Linked DNA regions of Saccharomyces cerevisiae S288C. The gene in region 3 interacts genetically with the main gene of each other region. Each region holds a gene or a part of one and is shown on either strand. Other genes may lie near its edges.

Region 1 (4,076 bases), on a different chromosome or scaffold from region 3:
TATGTAGAACAGTGAAATATTTTTCCTTTTTTTTTTTATTATCAAGAATCACTTGTGTCAGTTATCGTTAAATTCCAGGTTACAAAAAGATTGTAAATGCCAGGGAAAATACAATTCAAAAAAGTTACAGTATAGTTATATTTAATTACTTAAATTTACTTTTTTTACTATAAGGTGCTATTCCTGCATTCTTTTTTTAATTAATCAGGACTTATAAGCTGATAGTACTTTCATTCTTTTTTTTTTGTGTGATAAGGCCATTGAACATTATGGAAGACTAACTACTTTTTCTTCAAGAAAATTGTGTGCTTCTACTCTCGTTCAATACAGGAAATTTTAATTCCAACAGAGTGGAAATTTATGGTTTTCTTACCACAATAAATTTCTCAATTGTTAAAATCTGAAAAGTTGGCAGCCCTGGCCCTGTCAAAGAAAGTATTATTATGCGTCGCGAAATTTCTTTTTCTTCACGCCTTGTTTTTAGTTTGGGCATCTCGAAAGCATCTAATACAAAATCCAACTAAAGCACAGCATTCAATCTAGTAGAGAGAACAAGAGATATTCATCATGACCGGCATGGAATCAGGAGAGAATTTGGAAAACATGGAAGATATTTTGGCGAGACATCGCAAGGAAAATAAAGATTTACAGAATAAGATAACGGGTATGAAAAAGCAGGCTACTAAATCCAAAAGGAAAGAAGTTAATTCGAAATGCCTAGATCTTCAAGATAAACTAAAGACTAAGCAAGAAAATGAAATAAGGGATTGGAAAATTGCAAATAATGAAGTGTTTGACGCAGAACAAGAAGATGAAGTGACTCCTGAAAAACTTTTAGAACAACTATCCATATCTCGAGATGAGAAAGAACAACAGAATGTTCCCGTTCAACAACAGCAACAAGGCCAGACAAAGAAGCGTCGCAATAGACAAAAGGAAAGATTGGCCAAAAGAGATGCAGCAATTGCTAAAATGAAAGAAGAGGCTGCTTTAGAAGCATCCAAACAACCGGACTTGAAAAAAATGGAGCAGGAGTCTATAGATCAGTTATGCGAGTTGAAGAAACTGAAACAATTCGATATACAACCCGATGGCCACTGTCTCTTTGCATCTATATTAGATCAGTTAAAATTACGCCATGATCCAAAAAAACTGGATCAAGACATGGATGTCATGAAGCTGAGATGGTTGAGTTGTAATTACGTACAGGAGCACAGGGATGATTTCATTCCATATTTGTTTGATGAAGAAACTATGAAGATGAAAGACATTGATGAGTATACGAAAGAGATGGAGCATACAGCTCAATGGGGTGGTGAAATTGAGATTTTGGCTCTCTCTCACGTTTTCGACTGCCCCATTAGCATTCTGATGAGTGGAAGACCTATTCAAGTGTACAATGAATGTGGGAAAAATCCTGAATTGAAGCTAGTTTACTATAAACACAGCTATGCATTAGGTGAGCATTATAATTCATTGCATGATTCTTGATTTTTCCCATCCGTATCTAATGAGATATGCTTATTTGTAAACCTTAATGCATCTATTTAATTGTATAGTTTGAAGCATATGGATATAAAAGAATAAAGAGAAGTAATAATCGGATATGAACATTGGTGGAGGAAAATTTTTACTTGGGAGGATATCGAATAATCCAACTTCAGGGATAGTAGGGCTTGCTAATGTTGGTAAATCGACTTTTTTCCAAGCAATAACAAACTCAAAATTGGGAAATCCTGCAAATTATCCATTCGCTACCATTGACGCAGAATGTGCCAAAGTCAATATACCTAGCGTGCCGCTCTCTAATTTATTGAGAATATATCAGAGTGCGAAATGCGTACCTGGAACACTCACAATATATGATATTGCTGGGCTCACCAGAGGCGCATCTCAAGGCCATGGTTTGGGTAACAAGTTCTTAAACGATATCAGACACGTAGAGGGGATATTTCAAGTGGTGAGAGGATTCTTAAAGGAAGACATCACCCATATAGAAGGTAATGTTGATCCTGTCAGAGATCTATCCGTGGTACAAGATGAACTCATCTTGAAAGACTTAGAATTTCTGGAAAACATTAGGGAAAGACTTAGTAAGAAGATGAGAATGGTTTCGAAGAATTCTAAAGAACATCAGGAAATGAAGATAGAGACAGAATTATTAGATGCATTAGAGGAACATTTGTTTAACGGTAAAAAAATCCGGCATTTCAAAGATCATTGGAACCTGGATGAAGTCAAAATTTTGAATAAGCATAACTTTTTAACCTCCAAACCAACTTTGATATTGCTAAATGTTTCACCTCAAGATTACGTTAGGAATGAAAATAAATTTGTCAGAAATATTATAGAATGGATTAACGAATTTTCGCCAGGAGATAAATTCCTACTTTTCAGTGCAGAATTTGAATCGCAATTGATGGAATGTAAAGGCATAGCGTCAGAGTATTTTGACAAGATCAAGGAAGATACCAATGTTTCTGATCAACAGTTAGTTTCTGCGATACCGCAAATAATACTAGAAATGAGAAAGTTGTTGAACTTAATTAGCTTCTTTACATGCGGCCCACAAGAAGTTCACCAATGGAATATAAGGGAGGGAACCACCGCTCAAGAGGCCGCGGGTGTAATCCATAGCGACTTGCGTGAAACATTTATCAGCGCTGATGTAATAAAATATGACGATCTGAAGAAGATGGAACCACCGCTAAATGAGTCTTTACTAAAATCTAAGGGACTTATCAAACGTGCAGGCAAACAATATATTATGCAGGACAATGACATTGCCTTATTCAAAGCCGCCGGTGGGAAAATTAAGAAATAGTTTGTCATAAAAAATACTTGTAAATATGAATAGAAACGCTTGCTTTGTTTTGTCTTTTCCAATAATTACACAAGAATCAACAAAAGTATGAGATATATATATATATATATATATATATATTATATTTGCATAAGGTTTAACCACTGATAGTAAGACAGAGGTATATCGAGGAACTGTGTTTACCTAGAGTGGGCTGATTCTAATAGTGCAGCTATATGCGAAAATGAGAAAAAAGGAACCGCTGAATTCAATAATATATTTTGGTTAATGGACGAGAAAAAGAGGAATCTAATGGAAATTATTTCCAGTTAGAACCAGCTTAGTTGGAAGCAACAACAACTTCGACATCCACACCAGGTTCAATGGTGATTTGAGTGATTCTCTTAACGATTTGAACAGGAGCTTCCAAGTCGATGTATCTCTTGTGGATTCTCATTTCGTAGGTTTCCCAAGTCTTAGAACCTTCACCATTTGGAGTCTTTCTGGTGGAGATCTTCAAAACCTTGGTTGGTAGTCTGACTGGACCCTTCTTGACCAAGTTGTGTTGTTCAGCGTTCTTGACAATGTTGGAAGAGACGTTTTCCAATTGCTTAACCTTGGTGGAGGTCAAAGTGATTCTAATCTTGATGATTTGTTGTTGTTGTTGTTCTTGTTCTTCAACCTTTTCCTTTTGAAAGTCAGACATTTTGTATATACCTTTTTGTTTATTTTACTTGCTTTCTTGTAGGAGTTTCAATCTAAAGCTGAGCTTGAATGAAATAACCCATCTTTACTATTATTTTGAATTCAATACGGTCTATTACTCAATCTCTGAGGCTAGTCGCGAATGCGTCGAAGTTTTTTTTTCAAAATTAAAACATTATCGTTACCCGAACTTTATCTTCATAAAAATAGTTGTGGCATTTTTTCTCTTATGTTTACGGATGTAGAAAATGTACAGGTGTGAACTTGCAGGTAAACATTTTTACATTTTTACTTTTATCTTTTCCCCTTCTATAGAGATAAAAATAAGAAGTTTCAGGGAAATCTCTCTTTCCATAGTAAATAGTGTTAGCAGCAGACAAGACAAGAAGGATATCAATGACGATACGCATTTTTCCGAATGATCTGGTCAGATAATTCTTTTTTTCCCTTTATCGGGAGGTTTTGATGAGAAAACGATGTCAATAGTATTCTAGTCACAATAGGGAGCTAGACGGCTATTCAATCAGAATGCGACTATCCGGAGTTATCCTCAATGATAGACGTTTCT
Region 2 (4,226 bases), on a different chromosome or scaffold from region 3:
GAAGCACTATCAGGTTTTTTAACGTACGTGAGTTGTTTTTTGTTTCTAATTTTTGGCTTGCCTGGGATAAACGGTGCCCATCAAATTATTAAGACCTGGTGAAAAGAGCGTACCTACATGGGTATCGGGGTTTTTGCCAGAAAGAGCTTTAACTGCAATTGATGCCTACCGGAGATTATTTTGATATCAAAATGCAGGAACGATATCTACTTCCCTAAAGCAGAAAACAAAACATTTTTTTAAAAGTCTTTCTTATATAAAGGTAACCTTCATTTCATGATAGCCAGATGATAATCTTAATGTAACAATTGGAGGATACCAGCATCCCTCCACACCTTCAAATGTCTATACCCCATTCCGTATTTTCGGCACTCTTGGTCTTCGTGGCGCTAGCTACTACAACCTTAGCCAGTACAGAAGCTTGCTTACCAACAAACAAAAGGGAAGATGGTATGAATATTAATTTTTATGAGTACACAATAGGCGACCAAACCACATACTTGGAGCCTGAATATATGGGCTATGAATACTCCAATACAAAGAAGTTAGGTTCCGTTAGCGGACAGACCAATCTCTCCATATACTATAGTCCGCCTTGTGAGAGCACTCCTACCTGTGTGACTTATGCAGTTTTGAAGCGTGATGAGGATGGATATGATCCTTGCGGACCTCTTTATGAAACTAAAAAACGTGACACTGAATACTGTGACCCAAATACTGCCTATTGGAGTTCTGATCTTTTTGGTTTCTATACTACTCCAACTAATGTAACTGTGGAAATGACAGGGTACTTAATATGGAGTATGGGCAACCGACGCCGTTGAACCTCTCCTTGGAGATTCTGATAATTTTATGACCATGACTTCTCGTGCACCTTACAGGAAACTTTAATGGCCTGATAAGTACAGCTATATTGTGATCACAATTATTAAAAACTAACTCATTTCATCTATAACCAAGTACAAATCGCACGACTATCATGACGATAAAAGCGTATATCCTTGATTTAATTCACATCACAATCACCCCCCTTGAAAAAAAAATAAATTTTTTTTCTTGCTATAATAGCATAATTGTCCACAAGTTCACTATTAGTGCTATCATTCTTCCCCACTGCCGCAAAATTGCAAAGGAAATAATTGTTTGCCCTGCAGGAACCATATACTAAAGAAGAAATAGATGCTATTAGCCTCTTCAACTGTCCGTAATCACTACATCTTGAAAGGTAAAATGCAAGTAGCAATGTGTTTACTTAAGGAAGCGCATCTACATCTTCTTTAGAACCATCTGTCGATTCAAGCGGATTAGAAAGAGGAAGCGTGATAAGCGCACACTGACACTTTGTCGTAAACTTATCAACTAATGTGCTATCACAATGCTTAAGAGAGAAGACAAATTTGGATATATCGAACAAAAAATTCCAAGCCTCCGACTCTGCATTTTGATCGTACTGATTCACAACATCTACCAATGCGTCGGCTATTTCTAGTGCTTTCACTGATATCCCTGGACCGTGAACTGCATAAAGATTTTTTGGGATTAAAAATGTGTCTTCTAACATGTCTCTAGCAATTTCTACTGGAATATGCGTATTCTTGCTATTTGAAAGGAAACTGATTCGCATACCGCTTATTTGAAGCACTAGCTTCCAAGCAAGTGTTCTAATCCAATGCCGTGAAAAAGATATGTCTACATAGCCGTAAGACCATGGTTCTATCTCAAGTGGCACCGTATGAAGTTCCCTCCATATCTTTTTAAGGGAGTCTTCAGTACAGGTTACATTAGCAGAGTCGGTAGCTAGAGCATCAAAGAAGCATTTTCCCGGTACAGTAAATACCCTAATCATCTCCAAGAAGCTGTCGAGAGATAGTCGGGGGTCCGTTACGTTCTCCGGTTGTGGTGGAGCAATCGTGGTATCCAGGCTCGTGGCGCAATGCGTATACACAGAAAAGTATCTTTCCGTTAAGAGAAGCAAATAATAAACTTTCCTTCCAAGCTGCTGCTCATCGAAAGGAAGAAGTTTCAAAGTTTCCTCGCGATGGAACCCCGCCAACTTAATGAGCCCCACGGCTTCACAAGAAAGCCGATACGAAGTTCTTGAGTTGGACATCTGTGCGTAGCAGCGGTTTAGACAATAGTACGTCATAATCTTGAATATATCACTACCGTTAAAATCGTCAAATTCTTGGCGTGATGACATGCAGAAACTGGATAACTGTATCCCAGTAAAGGTAACCCCTCCTTCCGACTCAATTTCAGTCTGCAAATCGCTAAGCGTGGCGGCAGAAAGAGATACCAGGAACCAATACACACAGGTTTCGTCATATCTTTTCTCTAAAAGTTCGTAAAGATCATCATAACACAGCAAAGGCCAGATCACATACAACTTATCATTATAGAGCCGCAGACACTGATCAATTAGTGCCTTTGGAACCTTCATTATGCCACCACTACTACTTTTACTAAATACCTGTACATCATCTACTTTCTTTAAATTTCTCACCTTGACGGGTTTTGGACCTCTTTTCTTCAAAGGTCGAAGATATGTACATTGCAGATTGTGTTGAAGACAACATTTACATGGTTTTTTACGATCACACTTTACTCGACGAATGCAACAACAGTCGCACGCTTGTCTATTGCGGGCCATCTTCGAACTAGAGCTCTTTTACTTTAGCTCTTTTGACAAGACAATGAAGCATTTCTTGAAGGTTTTCTTCTTTTCTCCGTATTTAAGTCAACAAGATATAGCTAATTTATTAAGCCGGGGGTGGGGAAAAACGCGGTAGTAACGTGGGGTACTTTAAAGTGGGGGAGATGGCACAGACAAAGCCGCAGGTACCTCGAGAACTCAGGGGAAAAAGGAACGCAGTTCAATAAGCTACCGATTTGGCAGATCTCAGGAGTAAAAATATAAATCTTAGTGCACATACAAGTGATAACTGCAACTCCAGATTTTTCTTTCGGTCGATTCGTTGATGCAACAATGTCGAAATTATAGTTAGGCGTTTGTTCCTGTAATTTAACTTCAAGTGGAGGAGTCAATGTTCTTTCCTATGTTCTATTTGTGGGATAGAAAAGTTAAAAAGAAGGTTTTTGAGTATCCCAGTGATAGTGCAGTACTACTTCTGTGTATTCCCGATTATTACAACGGCGGAGTTTTTTTCGCATAAACTCAGACTACTAAGTAACTCTCGAGCATCGTGAAGATCCTGATACTTTATCTATGCATTACGTACGGAACGGAGTGAGGCCTTTCTCCAGAAAAATCGTTGAGATGGCATGTAGGTTCTAGATTTGTGACGACACTCAACAAGAAAAGTTTGAGGTGAATATCTTACCCGCGACATCTGGAGCGAGAAGAAAGCCGTAATCGATAACGTATTCTCTCAATGCTGTGGCGTTTCAGTAGTATTTTGTTATTACCGACGAAAACGGTTCCTCAAGAAATAAAATATATCTAGAGGTAAGTTGCAAAACGCTAGACTATTTATGGCAAGATTAGTATTTGCTGTCGTGATATCATAAGTAGAGACACATGTTCAGCTTCTCACTTGAATTTAGGTTAGAACAAAATCTTTAAACAGCAGTTACAATGAATGTTTGGGAGACCTAGTCAGTCTCCATACTGCCAAGAAAAAGGTTAGTCGAACTGGAAAAACAAGGCTGTACTGCACCCTAATGTTTCTTAGTAAGCAATTCGCTATCGACGCCGAATACCATGAACATCAACCTTGTGAAAGCTTTCGCATATTGGCGCTCAAGAGATATAGACGGTACTAGTGAAAGAGAGACAAGGCCGCCGGATTACTTGCTCTCGTCATTGTAATTGTTCAATTTCACAGACATTTCTCTGGCATGTATCCATTGGGGCACCACAATAAGGGAATATTTTACAATATCGTAAGCTGTTCGTAATACGCGGCTTCTCTTTACTCAAAGCCCAATGAATCCTGGCTTCGAAAATCATACAAACTGTGAAATCTACTTATTTGAAATGACAAACACTGCTTCCCAGTCTGGAGGCTCTCTTTGAGGATAACTAACATGTATGGCTAAAAATAGTTAAAATAATTGAGACGACATTGCACTTGCTATAATCAGACTTCAATAACATATGCATACAAGAAACTTCTCTTTTGAAATAGGAGCGGGGCTCCATCACAAAGAGATTGAAATTTGATACTAGCTCTAAAATCGAGGCAGGGATGTTCCAATGATCGAGT
Region 3 (4,238 bases):
ATTACATCTTTACGCAGCCACTTCTCACAAGTGGATGAAGATGTTCTTAGGAGCGCAGTCTCAAGGTATTCCTGTCGTCACTGCCTACGATACTTTGGGAGAGAAAGGGCTAATTCATTCTTTGGTGCAAACGGGGTCTAAGGCCATTTTTACCGATAACTCTTTATTACCATCCTTGATCAAACCAGTGCAAGCCGCTCAAGACGTAAAATACATAATTCATTTCGATTCCATCAGTTCTGAGGACAGGAGGCAAAGTGGTAAGATCTATCAATCTGCTCATGATGCCATCAACAGAATTAAAGAAGTTAGACCTGATATCAAGACCTTTAGCTTTGACGACATCTTGAAGCTAGGTAAAGAATCCTGTAACGAAATCGATGTTCATCCACCTGGCAAGGATGATCTTTGTTGCATCATGTATACGTCTGGTTCTACAGGTGAGCCAAAGGGTGTTGTCTTGAAACATTCAAATGTTGTCGCAGGTGTTGGTGGTGCAAGTTTGAATGTTTTGAAGTTTGTGGGCAATACCGACCGTGTTATCTGTTTTTTGCCACTAGCTCATATTTTTGAATTGGTTTTCGAACTATTGTCCTTTTATTGGGGGGCCTGCATTGGTTATGCCACCGTAAAAACTTTAACTAGCAGCTCTGTGAGAAATTGTCAAGGTGATTTGCAAGAATTCAAGCCCACAATCATGGTTGGTGTCGCCGCTGTTTGGGAAACAGTGAGAAAAGGGATCTTAAACCAAATTGATAATTTGCCCTTCCTCACCAAGAAAATCTTCTGGACCGCGTATAATACCAAGTTGAACATGCAACGTCTCCACATCCCTGGTGGCGGCGCCTTAGGAAACTTGGTTTTCAAAAAAATCAGAACTGCCACAGGTGGCCAATTAAGATATTTGTTAAACGGTGGTTCTCCAATCAGTCGGGATGCTCAGGAATTCATCACAAATTTAATCTGCCCTATGCTTATTGGTTACGGTTTAACCGAGACATGCGCTAGTACCACCATCTTGGATCCTGCTAATTTTGAACTCGGCGTCGCTGGTGACCTAACAGGTTGTGTTACCGTCAAACTAGTTGATGTTGAAGAATTAGGTTATTTTGCTAAAAACAACCAAGGTGAAGTTTGGATCACAGGTGCCAATGTCACGCCTGAATATTATAAGAATGAGGAAGAAACTTCTCAAGCTTTAACAAGCGATGGTTGGTTCAAGACCGGTGACATCGGTGAATGGGAAGCAAATGGCCATTTGAAAATAATTGACAGGAAGAAAAACTTGGTCAAAACAATGAACGGTGAATATATCGCACTCGAGAAATTAGAGTCCGTTTACAGATCTAACGAATATGTTGCTAACATTTGTGTTTATGCCGACCAATCTAAGACTAAGCCAGTTGGTATTATTGTACCAAATCATGCTCCATTAACGAAGCTTGCTAAAAAGTTGGGAATTATGGAACAAAAAGACAGTTCAATTAATATCGAAAATTATTTGGAGGATGCAAAATTGATTAAAGCTGTTTATTCTGATCTTTTGAAGACAGGTAAAGACCAAGGTTTGGTTGGCATTGAATTACTAGCAGGCATAGTGTTCTTTGACGGCGAATGGACTCCACAAAACGGTTTTGTTACGTCCGCTCAGAAATTGAAAAGAAAAGACATTTTGAATGCTGTCAAAGATAAAGTTGACGCCGTTTATAGTTCGTCTTAATGGATCAACATTTCCATGATAGGAAAGCCTCATCATACTAAAGCACTTTTTCAGTTTTTTGCTTTAGAACTGCTACCAATTATAAAATAGAATGCACAGGTTATCTTGTTTGGTTTGTTATTATCCTTTTTTCTTCTTTACCAGTCATATCACCTCATTCACGTATGTTCGTAATTTATAATGTTAAAAATGGCATATATAGATATATTTATGAACATCCTAAAAAATAACTAAATTTTTCTACATTTCAAAAAAGGTAACGTTGACTGCCGCATGGCAGTCTAATTAGGAGCTTAGTGATACATATATATATATATATAAATTTCGGCCAAGACACCTCACATAAGAAGCATTACCAGAGGTGTCCTGATCTGAGATGGACCCTGTCTCATTTGTTGAGTTGACAAAATATCAGGGAAATTGATTACCCTGGTGTGCACTGACTCCTTAGTACTCATTTTCACAGCTTCGTACACATCATGGAAGACAAACCATAGCAACCAGCCGCTCTCATTCAATCTCGCATAGACTGGAAGAAGAAGCTCCAGAAGCATATCCATTCCTTGCAAAACGTTCGTTTCTGCGTGCCTGTCTTCTCCACTTTTGTCTCGGTCAGCCAACAGGCACGTGGTGGGTGTGCCTGGAGATTAGAAATTGTAGTTCCTCAGATTATGTAAATTTTCTCAACAAATTTACTAGGACAAAGAAATGACGTAGTAAGAGTACTAAGTATCAAGATTGTTGAGGTGTTCCGTTGTTAGTACTTTTTTACGAGCACGCGAAGTTGACACATTGTGTCTGGCAGATGGGAACTAATTTACTAATCAATTTGCAGCAGTACGCTATCATGTGATGAAATATATTCCCGTTGGATTAACCATAGTCTAATAGACAGTAATATCGAGGACTCAGGGACTACGCCATTTATTTACTTGGAATAATTTGCCTGCCCATTCAATAAAATTATGAAAATTGTGACGTTCATACACATGCTGATGAAATGAGTATTTCTTTTAGTTGAAAATCCAACAAATTCCTCATTAACGCCGTTTTCCCACTTCTATTTACTGGCTTTTCTTTCAAAACGAGGGGATTTATTCTTGGCGTTGTTGAAATTTTCACATTTCCAGAAGATTTATTCGGCGTTTATTTTTCTAATCCAGATTTAACAAAGAGAACAAAATCCCACTCGTTACCCTGCCTTGAATTGTCAGATGGCCTTATTTATTTATTTGTTACCCGCAGATGTGGATATAAGACGGAAATGGATAGTAAAGCTAAAACGACTCTTCAAGCAGAAATTACCGAGATGAGGTAAAAATGAATGGGCAAAATAGCTAGCCAAGAACAGCGCAATCATTCTAAGATTAACATTGATGAACTACAGCGCAGACTCTGGTAATACAGTTTATGTGGGGAATATAGATCCAAGGATAACGAAAGAACAACTTTATGAACTCTTCATTCAGATCAACCCTGTTTTAAGGATTAAGTATCCGAAAGATAAAGTTCTACAAGCTTACCAAGGCTACGCATTCATCGAATTTTATAATCAAGGAGATGCTCAATATGCAATAAAAATAATGAATAATACCGTTAGATTATACGACCGACTGATAAAGGTTCGTCAAGTAACCAATTCTACAGGAACAACTAATTTACCTTCAAATATTTCTAAGGACATGATTCTACCTATTGCTAAGTTGTTCATAAAAAACCTTGCAGATTCGATAGATAGCGACCAATTAGTGAAAATTTTCAATAAATTTGGTAAGCTCATAAGGGAACCCGAAATTTTCTACCTATCAAACGGAAAATTAAAGTGTGCTTATGTTTATTTTGAGGACTTTGAAAAAGCAGATTTGGCAATAAAATCTTTGAACAATCAGTTAGTCGCCAACAACAGAATTACTGTTGATTATGCCTTCAAAGAAAATGGAAAAGGTAACGCAAAATACGGTGATGACGTTGACAGGCTGTTGAATAAAGAAGCATTAAAGCACAACATGTTGAAATAAGATCCCGCTCTCACCTAGTACATACCTTACCCGTTAGAAAATGCGATAACGGACACAATCTTGGCAGAAACATTATCAATACTATGATATATATATATGCGTTTCCGACTATACTAATTTTTACACTTTTTGAAAATTTTCACTTCTCCTCATAATCAAACGAGGCAGATTTCCCTGGACTGTATGTAAGAAGCGTACACCGAGTTCCAAAGGTCACAAGCTTGGTGCTCTAGCTTTGAATCCTCCGCGTCTTCTTCTTTAACGATACATTCAAACTCCTTCATTGATGGATAATTCCAGGGCTTGGCCAATGGATAATCCGAAAAATGTATGTACTTAGAATATGCGACACTGTCGTTTAATCCTACCGGAATATCGTTGCCATCATTATCCAATGTCTTATAACCCAAAACGTCATTATAGATTATAGAATAGTGCCGTGGGTTTCTCAATGAACCCGTCAGTAAGCCGTACCTTGCAAATGGCAAAACCAATACTTC

What was found.
Region 1: mutations in HSH49 (region 3) and YLF2 together harm fitness more than expected from each alone (negative genetic interaction), as found in Saccharomyces cerevisiae (one large-scale study listed by BioGRID).
Region 2: mutations in HSH49 (region 3) and ZNF1 together harm fitness more than expected from each alone (negative genetic interaction), as found in Saccharomyces cerevisiae (one large-scale study listed by BioGRID).

The regions. Positions count from the first base shown.
Region 1 is NC_001140.6:74,845-78,920, reverse strand, and holds YLF2 (Ylf2p), read left to right. Parts: upstream 1-1,606; coding exon 1,607-2,824; downstream 2,825-4,076. Other genes in the region: deubiquitinase OTU2, read left to right, coding at 568-1,491; 40S ribosomal protein uS10 RPS20, read right to left, coding at 3,144-3,509. UniProt on the Saccharomyces cerevisiae protein: Hydrolyzes ATP, and can also hydrolyze GTP with lower efficiency. Has lower affinity for GTP.
Region 2 is NC_001138.5:26,656-30,881, reverse strand, and holds ZNF1 (DNA-binding domain containing protein), read right to left. Parts: upstream 2,651-4,226; coding exon 1,253-2,650; downstream 1-1,252. Other genes in the region: YFL051C (uncharacterized protein), read left to right, coding at 342-824. UniProt on the Saccharomyces cerevisiae protein: Transcription factor that regulates respiratory growth and plays a critical role in stress adaptation during non-fermentative growth.
Region 3 is NC_001147.6:909,726-913,963, forward strand, and holds HSH49 (U2 snRNP complex subunit HSH49), read left to right. Parts: upstream 1-3,096; coding exon 3,097-3,738; downstream 3,739-4,238. Other genes in the region: long-chain fatty acid-CoA ligase FAA1, read left to right, coding at 1-1,720; GNT1 (glucose N-acetyltransferase), read right to left, coding at 3,894-4,238. UniProt on the Saccharomyces cerevisiae protein: Possible SF3b-like factor.